Linked DNA regions of Neurospora crassa OR74A. The protein of the gene in region 1 binds, or shares a complex with, the protein of each later gene. Links are inferred from orthologs where the notes say so. Each region holds a gene or a part of one and is shown on either strand. Other genes may lie near its edges.

Evidence for each region.
Region 2: NCU02121 (region 1) and hda-3 share a complex: the UniProt entries of both Saccharomyces cerevisiae proteins name them as parts of the RPD3C(L) complex. The link is inferred for Neurospora crassa OR74A from reciprocal best matches to the Saccharomyces cerevisiae genes CTI6 and RPD3.

The regions. Positions count from the first base shown.
Region 1 is NC_026501.1:1,172,594-1,178,514, reverse strand, and holds the start of NCU02121 (transcriptional regulator), read left to right. Parts: upstream 1-2,008; 5' UTR 2,009-3,446; coding exon 3,447-4,039; exon of another isoform or gene 4,040-4,211; coding exon of another isoform or gene 4,212-4,222; coding exon 4,223-4,522; intron 4,523-4,575; coding exon 4,576-4,820; coding exon of another isoform or gene 4,821-4,871; coding exon 4,872-5,635; 3' UTR 5,636-5,921. UniProt on the Saccharomyces cerevisiae protein: Component of the RPD3C(L) histone deacetylase complex (HDAC). Responsible for the deacetylation of lysine residues on the N-terminal part of the core histones (H2A, H2B, H3 and H4).
Region 2 is NC_026501.1:7,045,495-7,051,503, forward strand, and holds hda-3 (histone deacetylase RPD3), read right to left. Parts: upstream 3,823-6,009; 5' UTR 3,379-3,822; coding exon 3,166-3,378; intron 3,103-3,165; coding exon 2,802-3,102; intron 2,734-2,801; coding exon 2,192-2,733; intron 2,141-2,191; coding exon 1,220-2,140; 3' UTR 535-1,219; downstream 1-534. Other genes in the region: NCU00825 (hypothetical protein), read right to left, coding at 1-211; rpn-11 (26S proteasome regulatory subunit RPN11), read left to right, coding at 4,477-4,542, 4,647-4,900, 4,962-5,658. UniProt on the Saccharomyces cerevisiae protein: Catalytic component of the RPD3 histone deacetylase (HDAC) complexes RPD3C(L) and RPD3C(S) responsible for the deacetylation of lysine residues on the N-terminal part of the core histones (H2A, H2B, H3 and H4).

The DNA of each region.
Region 1 (5,921 bases):
AGTGGCCTTGGAAAGAAATCCAAGAATCGCAACGTGGAAGGCGCGTGCCTACGAACGTACCTTCAGGATATTACATAGTACCCAAGACAAGATGCTATCAACTTTCGAAGGAGCGCCAGCCGCCGAGGCACTTCACACGGAATATGCGTCAACCCGAGGGGATTCCCAGGCTGCTATAATCCGTATGATTGTGGAAGTTCTGTGATCCGGAGAACACCTTGGGAATACAAGTGGAAGGAAACGAAGGCGCCGACGTCGCTTTGGATGTATCCCTTTCTGCCCAAAAAGACTCATCAGCACCGAAGCCTTGGGAAAAGGAGGGGAAACGCCATGGCAGTTGTGTTCTCGTTGTTTATGCCTGGACCGGTAGATGAAATATTTTCTCCCCAAGTTGCCACCGCATCGTCTATCATAGCAAGAACTTCCTGAATCGTCGGGATACCACACCAAGGGACAAATGAAACAGCATGGCGGGGAAGGCGGCGAGAAGGGGGAGGGGGGGGGGGGGGGGGGGGGGGGGGAAATGAAGCCATACAACTGAGGGGACAATCAGCTGCTAATCACAAGCACCCACCTTCTTGGCTCGAATCTGGCTCGTGCGGATATCCGGTGGCCAGGTTGCAGGCAAACTCGGGGGAGAGCTATAGGAAGGCCAAAACAAAAGAAGCCAACTCAAACCAGCACTTTGCCCGAGTCAGTGAGACGGGTGTCGTGTATCGGTGCAGTGGTGTTGAGGGGTGGAAAGCAATGGAGTTCAGTGGTTGTGATTAGGAGAAGCGGGTGTTCACTGTAGTGAGGGCGGGCGGGATGGTAGGCGGGACCTAATCGACGCACCCTTGGCTGCATTATGTAAGCATCCCGTCCTTAACCACCTCACTGCAGTTGGTCGTCTGGACAGCGCGGGTTTCGGGCTGTGATTCTGAGGAGAGGGCAGCCAGAGGTCGGTGACCCAATGCCGCTGCCTGCCATGCTGCCAGAACCTAGAAGTACACCCGCTGTTCCGCCCCCGCCTTCCACTTGTAGTTCCCGGCCGGGGGAGCCTCCATTCGGTTTCCGGTTCCCATCCGAGTGAATAGCCTCACGCATGGCATTGGGTCTCTCCCCAACATGGAGAGATCAACGGAAACTGAGAGATCACCCAATAATGATACCCTAGAGGCCGACAGCAATCACGAACCGTCGAGCATACTGGTGTTCCCACGGGTACACTACTGGAGACTCCAAGGAACAGCCCCAAGTGAGATGCTGAATTTCCATACCGTGACCTCTCTAGCTACTGTACTGAGCTACCTGTACGTTTTTCGATTTCCCAAATCCAATTGGAAGATCATGGGGAAGTACCGAGTCGACTGATGTTGACCCATTAACTACCTCTAGGTACCAGCTAGTGTACCTTGGCTTGACTTCCCCAGCAACCGAGCTTCTTTCTGGGTGGGCAAGTCTCTCTGTCTCTACTTACCATAATCATCGCCGTGCACACTCACATTGAAAGCGACCTGAATGGAGGCCGGGTTGTGGGCGGCGGTTCCTGAATGCCGGACGCACTGTGCTTACACTAGTACTAGTACAGTATTCGAGCAAGAGCCAAGCGTTTTCCATCACAGGCAGAACACTGCGGTGCCGGTGCCATTCATAGGTAGTTGCATCTGATTTGATGCCGCCCTGACAACACCATGTACTGCCATTTTCCCTTTGAGAAGCAAACGAGACCCATTCGACGACGGTAGGTGCAATTTCACTTGGAAAGCTTTGCTCAACTCGACAACAACCTGAACCAGACCCGACCTGCAGCGAGCAATGAACCGAACCCCCGCCTCCCCTTCAGGTTCCCATTACCCCAAATAATTTCCCCTTGTGTGCAACAACGAGTTTCGTTGTCTTCCACCATCGATGTTTGTTTGAACCACATTTCACTTCAAACCCTTTTCGGTTTTCAAGATGCCCCTTATTCTCTTGTCGGTCCAGGTTGGACACGGGCTTCACCTATTGAGGCGTGATGTCATAGCACGAACCCTCCCCGACGGACGGTACCAGTAATTCACCACTCTACGGCCTCTACATACCTATGCATACGACTTTCTTACATCAAACTATATCTACTCGTCTCTGGAAACTGAACAGCATCGACAAGCCGGCTTTCGACGCCGCATCCCAGAGATCATTGATATCCTGGTCGAGCTGGCCCATTATCTTTTTCCCGGCACCGGATTGGTCAACATGGGGACCGAGCTTCCAGATGGCCCCGCACGCTTTGGCGCTGCCACTGCCGCTACCGTGAGGAGGAGTGAGGAGGTGCCTGAGTGACGGACGGGATCAGACCGGGGTTGGTGGGTGGGTGGGCGGCAGCCAGAGTGGGTGCCCGGGCGGACAGCTTTCTGCCAAAATTTACTGCAAGCAACTGCAAGAGCGCCGTGTCGGGTTGGTGGTGGTGGTGGTGGTGGTGGTGGTGGTGCATCGTGGTGCCGTGGTGCGGTGCGGTGGTCCCGTCTTTTTTGGGGCTGGCAACTCGACTAGGTCCCGGGCTCGGTTTCCACCATTGTACACACACCAAGAGAGACCAGCCATCGCTTCCTCCTTCCAGGCAGTGCCGTCCTCGCTCTCCTCTTTTCTGGAAATCCTCACCACGTACACCCTGGGCCACAGACACGAAAACCCGACTTGTCGAACTTTGTTATTTCCGTCATGAGAAATAGTTTACCACCCACCTACCACGTCGACCACCGCTCCCCGATCTCCAATTTGGCGTAGCCAGCACTTCGGATCCCGTCATAGACATCTCGTCTCGCCGTCCTCCGTCCCCTCTTCTTCGTTTTTTTTCCCACCCTCGTACCCGCTCAATCTTTTACCCAAGTTAGCAGCGAACGAGTCTTGCTTTCGTGGACATTTACACAAGCAAGCCGGCGACATCCTCATCTCGAGCACGCCCCCGATCGAGCACCCTCCTCACTTGGCTGGATTTTCGACCTGAGCCCTCGCGATCCTCCGCCGTCGGTCGATCCATCCTCGATAATTTACGCTTCTCTACCACCAAGCACCGGCTTCAAGCTACGATTCGAACCTAGCACGAGTCTCATAACCTCGACACCTTCGATTGCATCTTTACTCGACGATTGTGTCAGATTCAATTTGCGGTCGAGACTCGGCCTCGTCGAGTCCTCGCTTCTCCGTGACCACATCGACAGACGACCGCGTGATTCGGGTCTGCTCCCGCCATCACGCCCCATTACTTCTCCGACCATCCACATCGCAATTGTCGAGCTTCAAGTAAAACGAAATTGTTTTAGTGCTAGGGTGCGTCATTGTCCCCAGGCACTCCGGATACCCGACCGCAGAACCCCCTCCCAACGGGCCTGCGGATCGCGTTCTTCTCTTCGACACCAATCGTGTCGATTATATACCCTACATACTTCGAGCTCCTGCCTTGACTGCGGCCCCAGCTGCAAGCAATGGCAGGGTCCGATCCGAGGCGGTCGTCAAGAGCGCGAACCTCCCAATCACAATCGCAAATCTCGTCCAGCACGTCCAGCACGTCAGGTCGTGGTGAGCGCAGCACCAGGTATTTCAACAAAGCTGTCTCACCACAAAAGTCAAGCTCCTCGGGATCGCTATCCTCTGAGGCTCCAGACGAGACAATTACAGCGGACGACTCGTTTGGTACCCGGCGTCGTACCCGCGGTCAGCAGGAAGAAAGAGAGAGGGCAAATAACAAGTCTGAGCAGGTCGAAATGGCACACGGCGACGATGACGCTCAAGACGAGGACGAGGCCGTTCGTTGCATTTGCGGCTACGAGGACTACCCAGGCCCTCCGCCGTTTGACGAAGACTCCAAGCATGGCTTGAAGGACGGCATGGATATCGATCCCATATTCGCGACCGATGTCACCGACGATGCGGCCGGATTTTTCGTACAATGCGACATTTGCAAGGTCTGGCAACATGGCGCCTGCGTTGGCATTATGACCGAAGAGTCAAGCCCAGACGAATATTTCTGCGAAGAGTGCCGCAAAGAATTCCACAAAATTTTCACAGCGAGCAACGGGTAAATCTTGCATTTCTTTGGTCCCGTGGCTGCATGGTCGGGAGCTGAACGTCAAAAGTTCAGCTGGAGTGCGTCAAAGCCCATCACACGCCTTTGACGTTGCCTCACCTTTCATGCAATATCCTCCTCCATCCACGACAATTGTCAAATCACTCTCCAGTCGACTGACGACATGATTCACAGACAACGCTATTCGCACTACCTACCCCTTAAGCGCCCCTCTCGAACCACTTCTAGATCCGCCTCTCTCAACAAGGATGGCACGAGATCACCGCCCAAAGATAAACCGGAGGGCCGCAACGGACGTGGTACGACCACTTCCTCCGCGTCGAAGCGAAGATCTACAATGAACAGCCGAGGCGCTGACTACGACGAAGCTGAAGCCCTGAGACGGGCGATTGAAGCAAGCAAAGAAGATGCAGCTTCTGAACAACCCGAAACTACCACGAGAAGAACAAAGCGAGGCAGAAGCGATAGCGAAGAGTAGGTCCACGTCCTACGCTGCCCGACATCAATAACCGCTAACCCTCTTCAAGAAAGTCAGAAAACAAGAGGCAGAGGACGAGCTCTCGATCGGCCTCTCCTAGCCTTGACAAGACCACTGAGGACTCTGACGACGCCGGCACAACAACGCGGAATGGTGCAAAGTCTAGATCGCGGGGCGGCGTAGCAGGCCGCACTCTGCGCACCGAGAAGACAACTGAAAAAGAAGAACGCGAACGACAAAGGGCTGAGGCAGCAAACAAGCGAAAGGGTAGAGCTGAGCGCCGGCGAGCTGATGGTACGAAAGCCACGACTCTCGCGAAGGCATCTGGAATTGACACAGATACAGATTCAGACCCTTCGGACGAGTTACCACTAGCAGCTCGTGCGGCAGTGAACAAGACGCCCGCTACAACGACACCGGTCGCAGCCGCCACCGCCGTGACCACTACAACGACTACTACTACCACTACTATGGCTACCCCTGCCGCTGCGGAAGAACCGGCAGAACAAGAAGAACAATCACCAGCGGTACCCGAACCCCCTCCTGCCTCACAGTCCACTCCGGAAGACCCTCCCGCTGCAGCTACTCCCACAGCCAAGATTGAGAAGAAGCGATCACATAAGAAGAAGGGTCGCAATCAATACACACGTGATGACAACGAGCCATCGCCTGCAAGATCACAGTCAGGGGAGGCACCAGCTGAAGTACCGCCTCCTCCGAAGCCAAGTAAGGCCGAAGAGAAGGCTACTGGACACGGAAAACAAGGGAAGAATAAGGGTGGGATGAACAGCAAGATCACCATGACTGACATGAAGAGGAGGGCCGCAGCACTCCTTGACTTCATTTCGCGAACCCAAGTTGAGCTTGCTGGCGAGTCACCATCGGATGATGACAAGACGAACGGCAACAGCGTCGCACCACAGTTAGCAACTGACTGTGAAAAGCCAGGGTCGGCAACAGGCATACTCGGGGTCAATTGCTCGACCCCAGCCGCTGTCATGACTTCAGAAGGGCAGCTAGGAAAGGATTTCAAGGACCTCAGCTGCGTGGAGATGATGGACAGCTTGACCCGGAGGTTGGTCAAGTGGCAGCAGGAGTATACAGTGTGATACAATGAGCGGATAATGGATGTTATACTTGATGTGCATGTGGCATGGATTACGTCGGATAAAGGCTGATGATAACTTGCACGTTTTCGATTTTGGGTTTCTTTTTTCTTTTCCACTTTCGTTTGTCTTGGTGTTTTCTCGGGCAGAACGGTGCTATCATTAGGCAGGTTTTTGCGATGATTGGATGCTTTCGAAGTTTTATATCGAGAGTACTCGGGATAGCTGTATCCTCCCTTCCACCTACTGACGACGTGGGCGAATGGGTGGTGAGGCCAGCGATGCATTT
Region 2 (6,009 bases), about 5.9 Mb from region 1:
TAGTGGACCAATTTGGTCTTGCTGTCCAGGAAAGCGCGGACAAATCTGACAACGATAGCACCACCAGTATGGCTAGTGCTACAGCTGTACATAATCGTGCAATCTTTGTGATTTCCGAATGCGTTCTTTGGTTCAAAGGATGCCGCTCACTGATGGCAGACACCCGGTGACCCGCTCCTTGTGTCCTGCCCATCGTAAACTTGCTCACCATGGGCGCCTCTGGAGGATTCCTGCTGGTTTAGACACTGACAAGTCCATCAGGGTTGAGAAGAAGACGAACAGGAAGAATTTAACGAGGGCGCTATCACTTGTATCTAAAGTAGTAATGTGGATATGCTAAACACCAGCTGAACTCTTTGCTGTACGACTCGAGGATTTGCCATAATTGGACCCGTCGGGGTTGTTGATCATTTCTCAGAAGTCTTTGGCGCCATTGAAAGTTGCTTTTCAGCTGACGGCTAGATCAAGCAATCCAGATTGGCTGGCACCAGAATCTGGCAATCCCACTCAAGGTATGCGTTGGTACCAAACATACTGTAGATAACTCCTGCATACCCCTACGTACGTGTGAAGTAATGGAGGTTGTGTATGTACACTATTCTAGAGTCCAAGGGTCCAGTCCCTCGTTCTCCGGATAACGAAGGTTGAGGAAACGCCCCAATAAAGAAGCCGCTAATAGGAACTGGCGGGGATAAACTGCACGCCCGATTGGACTTTGTCCTGATCCGCAGGGCAACCCCGCATGATACAACGCGATGTCTGAAGTGGAGGCCGGGGCATCTTTGGCGATCCAGGATCAATCAAGCTCTTCAGGAGACGAGGGTGAGGGAAGTGGCACAAGTTTAATCAAGCGTTCACCACTTAGTGAACATCCCTGGCTTCCAAACCACAATCACATATCAGCAAGCCATGTTTAGCTAAAGTCACCTTTATTAGACGCTTAACTTGTAGAAACTTTTCCGAAACATGGAAAAAGAAAAGAAAAGGAAAAAAAAAAAAAGAAAAAAAAAGAAAGAAAAAACACAAACAACAAAGAGCCTGGATGTAATGTGGGGGAATCATTGAAAACAACATTTTCCTCGTCACAACACCCCTAAATCCCCAAACGCCAATGCCAATCATGCTCATGGGATAACACAACTGAAATTTGCCGACGTACTCAGGGCCCGATTAGTCCGAGCTATCAGACGTACTGAGTGTTTGTTCGGGGGGTTGCGTCCTATTCTTGAGGCTTATCGGCCTCCTTTTCCTTGTCATCTGTTGTTGCTGCCGGTGCCTTGTCGGATGCCTCCTCGGCAACCTTGCTTGGCTCTTCTGCCACTGGCTTCTCAGTGTTGGCGTCTGGTACCGGCGAGGCGGCCTTGGGAGAGGCTGCTGCTGCTGCTGCTGCCTCGGTAGCAGGCTCCGCAGTGGCGGCGGCGGGACTTGGCCTGCGCTCTGCCTCCGGCTCCGGAGCAGGGGCAGTCTCGATTTCCTCGGTCTTGATCTCCGCCTCAGGTTCTGCAGGCTTCTCATCGGCCTCGCCCATATCCACATCGCCATCTTCGTCAACTTTGGCCGCAGAGCTTACTGCAGGCTGCGCGGCTGTCGTTGCGGGGGCTTCGGCTTCAGGTTCAGCGGCGGCCGGTTGGGCTTCGTCGTTATCGATCATGGTCTCATCGTTGTCGACAGCAGTAGGCTCCGCTGGCTTAGCGGCGGCCGCGGCGGCGGTGGCGGCAATCGAGGGCGGAGCTGGTTCTCCAATATCAAGATCCATGTCCTCCACGGCCTTGGGGTTCTTGAAGTCGAGAATGGACCGGCGCTGCGGTCCGTTCGGCTTGAACACACCATTGGCTTGAGCCATGTCCTCGTCATCACTTTCTTCAAACTCGTCTTGCCTAGCTCTCTCCTTCTCCCATTGACGCTGTGTCCGCCGGACATCCTTGTTCTCGTCCTCATCCATGTCGTCAAGCTCGTCTTCCTGATCGTCTGACATACCGAAGCCCTGACGCGGAACGTCCTGCATCTGGACAGAGGGAACTGGGGCGGTCTTCTTCAGGTTTTCTATCACTGATATCTTGATCTTCTCCAGGTACTCTGGGCTGTTGGCGTTCTCCATATTGGAAGAACGCACATCAAGCTCGTAGTCGGGACCGTAATACTAAGAGTTTGTTAGCAAGGCGGCAAGCCATAATGGAACTAATCCACTTACGTCGTAGTACTCGTTGTAAGGAAGGACTGGGTTCATCTCAACACCAACCAAACGGCCGGTTTCGTAGGCCCAAGTCCTTGCGACGTTGCGCATGGTGTAGCCACCTCCGCCGAGAACCAGAGTGGGTAGTCCAAAGCTCCGCACGTAATTAACGCAGTTGGCATGGCCACGCATGCTCAAGTTAAAGCAGCCAAGACGATCACCGGACAAACTGTCACCACCGCATTGGAGGACAACAGCCTCAGGTTGGAAGTATTGCATGACAGCGCTAATGACGGGCTGGAAGATGGAGCTGTAGGTGGTGTCGTCAATCCCATCGCGGAGGGGGAAGTTGACGGCATAGTTCTTGCCGGAACCGATACCAATGTCGCGCAACTCGCCGGTACCGGGGAAGTACTCGCCGTACTTGTGGAAGGATACGGTCATGACGCGATCCGTCGTGTAAAAGGCTTCTTCGACACCATCGCCGTGGTGCACATCGATGTCAATGTAAAGAACGCGCTTCTTGAAACGCAGGAGCTCTAGGATAGCCAGGACGATATCTGTTCGGTGTAGTAGGTAAGCATGGGTGGCGTCGTACGGGTTCCAGGAAATTGTGAAGGCCACATACCATTGACATAGCAGAAACCGCTAGCCTCGCTCTTCTTGGCGTGATGCAAACCACCGGCCCAGTTGATGGCGATGTCGCACTTGTCCCTATTCAAGCGAGCGGCACCCTCCATACTTCCGCCGGCACTGATGCCGCAGAACTCAAACAGGCCGTCGAAAACGGGACAGTCATCGCCAACATTGTACTTGCCCTGCTCGCGCATGAAGCCGTCCATGTTGTCGGGGGTAACCTTTTGTAAAAACTCAATGTACTCGTCGGTGTGAAACTGTGTCATTTCGGCAGTAACGGCTGGTTTTGCACGCTAACACAGAGAGGGTCAGTTTGTCGTTGACCAAGGCCAGTACCCCCAACACAGCAAACTTACGTAGACCTCGAGAAACTTGTACACGTTGTAGTTCATGACCAGACTGTGGGCAAGACGGATACGATGGGGCTTCATAGGATGGCCGGTCACGTAGGCATAGTTGCCAATGTCGGAGTCGTAGAAGTAGGCGACCCGCTTCTTGTCATTGTGGACGACGGTATACAACGGCTCGTCACGCGCGACTCCGGCGGGATCGGTGAATGTGGAAGGCATGGTGGGCAGATGTTGCCGGGTTGCCCGTTGTGTTGTGTTGCGTTGCGTTGGCGGATACGGAGGACTATTGCGGTACAATCCGGATTGTGGGTTGGATGGTGTGTGTGTGTGTGTTGTGGTGGTGGATATCACGTCCAAGTATGTAGAAGTTATCGCTGACCGGGAGACGCTGGGATGGGAAGGACCCCGTCGTGAAAGGAAATGTTCAGGGTCGCCGGGCTGAATGGGGGAAACACGTGTTGAGGTTTCGTGGTATTGATAGAATGACAAAGTATGATATAGAAATATCCCCGTGATGTGGCAAATCACCTGGGCGGTATCGTCATGGCTTGCCAGCAACGAAAAGAAAGATGGTGTTTAGTTCGAGCTCGGTTCCTGACGCCGGGGTGTCTGTCACTGAGTGGCAGAATTGCTTGTACGAGCCACGGCACAACGCTGAGGTCGGTGCGTGAAGCCGTGGGCGGACAGGCGGGGGAGAAAGCGCAAGCACCAGCAACCCCAACGGGCGAGTGGGGTATAATTGAGCTGTTCTCCATTCTCCAATAACTTTAGTAACCAATCAGAAAACGGATTGTGCACCTGACGTCCTGTCGGCAGGCAACGTCGAACCTTCCAAAAAAGCGCCAATACTTATGAAGTCAACCGCTTTGCCTGCCGATTTGCAAACCAGATAAGATTATGTAATCCACAGCTTCCAGCTCAAGGGAACCTTCCGTCACCGGGCTGGCCTGCAGTGGACTTTGTGGCAGTTGGCGTTGCAGGCTGCCACAGCTTGTCGTCAACGCCGCCGCCAGCCAGCTGCGGCAAGCTCCCCATAGGTGCTGCATGCTCCATGCTCCAACCTGACGCGGTAGGTAGGTAGAGAGGTACTCAACCCACCAACCTAAACAACAAACCGCCCCGTCTCCCGTCTTGTCATCGACGACATCCCACTTCGACTTTACAACGAAACCGCCACCGTTTGCATCGCAACCCTCCATATACTTCTGCGCGACGTCATTACACCCGAGGAACGACGCCGATATTAATTTCCAACACCCCCGTCACACAGCTACGTCAACATAATACACTACTCTCCAACCAACAAACACATTCAAGATGGATCGCATGCGCAGCTTGTTGGGCGGCGGCCTGGGAATGGGCGGTGCCACTGCGCCAGGAGCCGTATGTTTGTTCCCATTCGCAAATTGAACAACAGAACCGCAGGCTTGCTTGGTCTGGCGTGAAGGTGACAAGGGCATGATGCTAATGTGCTGGGTTCTGGTCAGGACAACACCAACCTCATCGACAACTCGGAAACCGTCTACATTTCCTCCCTAGCCCTCCTCAAGATGTTGCGCCACGGTCGCGCTGGTGTGCCCATGGAAGTCATGGGCCTGATGCTGGGCGAGTTTGTCGATGACTTTACCGTTCGCGTCGTCGATGTGTTTGCCATGCCCCAAAGCGGTACTGGTGTCAGTGTAGAGGCTGTCGACCCCGTCTTCCAGATGAACATGATGGACATGCTCAGGCAAACGGGAAGGTGAGAGGATACTCAGCTCAACTTGACCTTTCACCACCCACTAATGTATTTCCCTTCGCAGGCCCGAGGCCGTCGTTGGCTGGTACCACTCGCATCCCGGTTTTGGCTGCTGGCTTTCGTCGGTTGATATCAACACCCAACAAAGTTTCGAACAACTCAACTCCCGTGCGGTCGCCGTGGTTATTGACCCCATTCAGTCCGTCAAGGGCAAGGTTGTGATTGATGCTTTCCGTCTCATCAACCCCCAGTCGCTCATGCTGGGTCAGGAGCCCCGCCAGACGACATCCAACTTGGGACATCTCAACAAGCCTTCCATCCAGGCCCTCATCCACGGCCTGAACAGGCACTACTACTCGATCGGCATCAACTACCGCAAGACCGCCTTGGAGGAGAACATGTTGATGAATCTGCACAAGCACGTTTGGACCGAGGCCCTCGAAATGGAGGACTTCCGCTGCGAGGGATCGAGGACGAAGGAGAGACTCGACCGCCTGGTTAGCCTTGCTGACGGCTACGAGAAGAGAGTCAAGGAGGAGACAGAGTTGACCAAGGACCAACTCAAGACACGCTATGTTGGCAAGGTGGATCCCAAGAAGCACTTGGAGGATGTCGGACAGCAACTGATCGAAGACAACATTGTTGCCGTTACAAGGCAGATGATCGACAAGGAGGCGACCATTGCGAAGAAGGATACCCCCGCTGGGGCCAATGGCACCACACATGGCGACCAGATGGAGGTCGAGGAGGAGCAGCTATAGGTACCTACCTAACCAAAAGGACAAGCATGCATGACGTTTTTTCTTTGCAGGCGCATACCTCCGACTTGTGATTTTGTATGACTAGGCGTTAGGTATAAGGATGGGCAGCTAGACCGGTAGCCATGTTCAAGATTCGGTTTTCCTTTTCAGTGAATGGGGTTGTCTGTTCAGGTACAGACCTGCAGTGACTGGTTTACGGGTTCGTGGCTAGTGGTGTAAGTGACATCAATTTCTCTTTGTTTCCGATTCTGTACCTGAGTTGATGCCACAGGAATGAGTGCACCACGTCTTTGTGCGCGGAAAGGTGTTCTTGGTTACACACCATTGTCCTTTGACAGATGCTCTGCACAG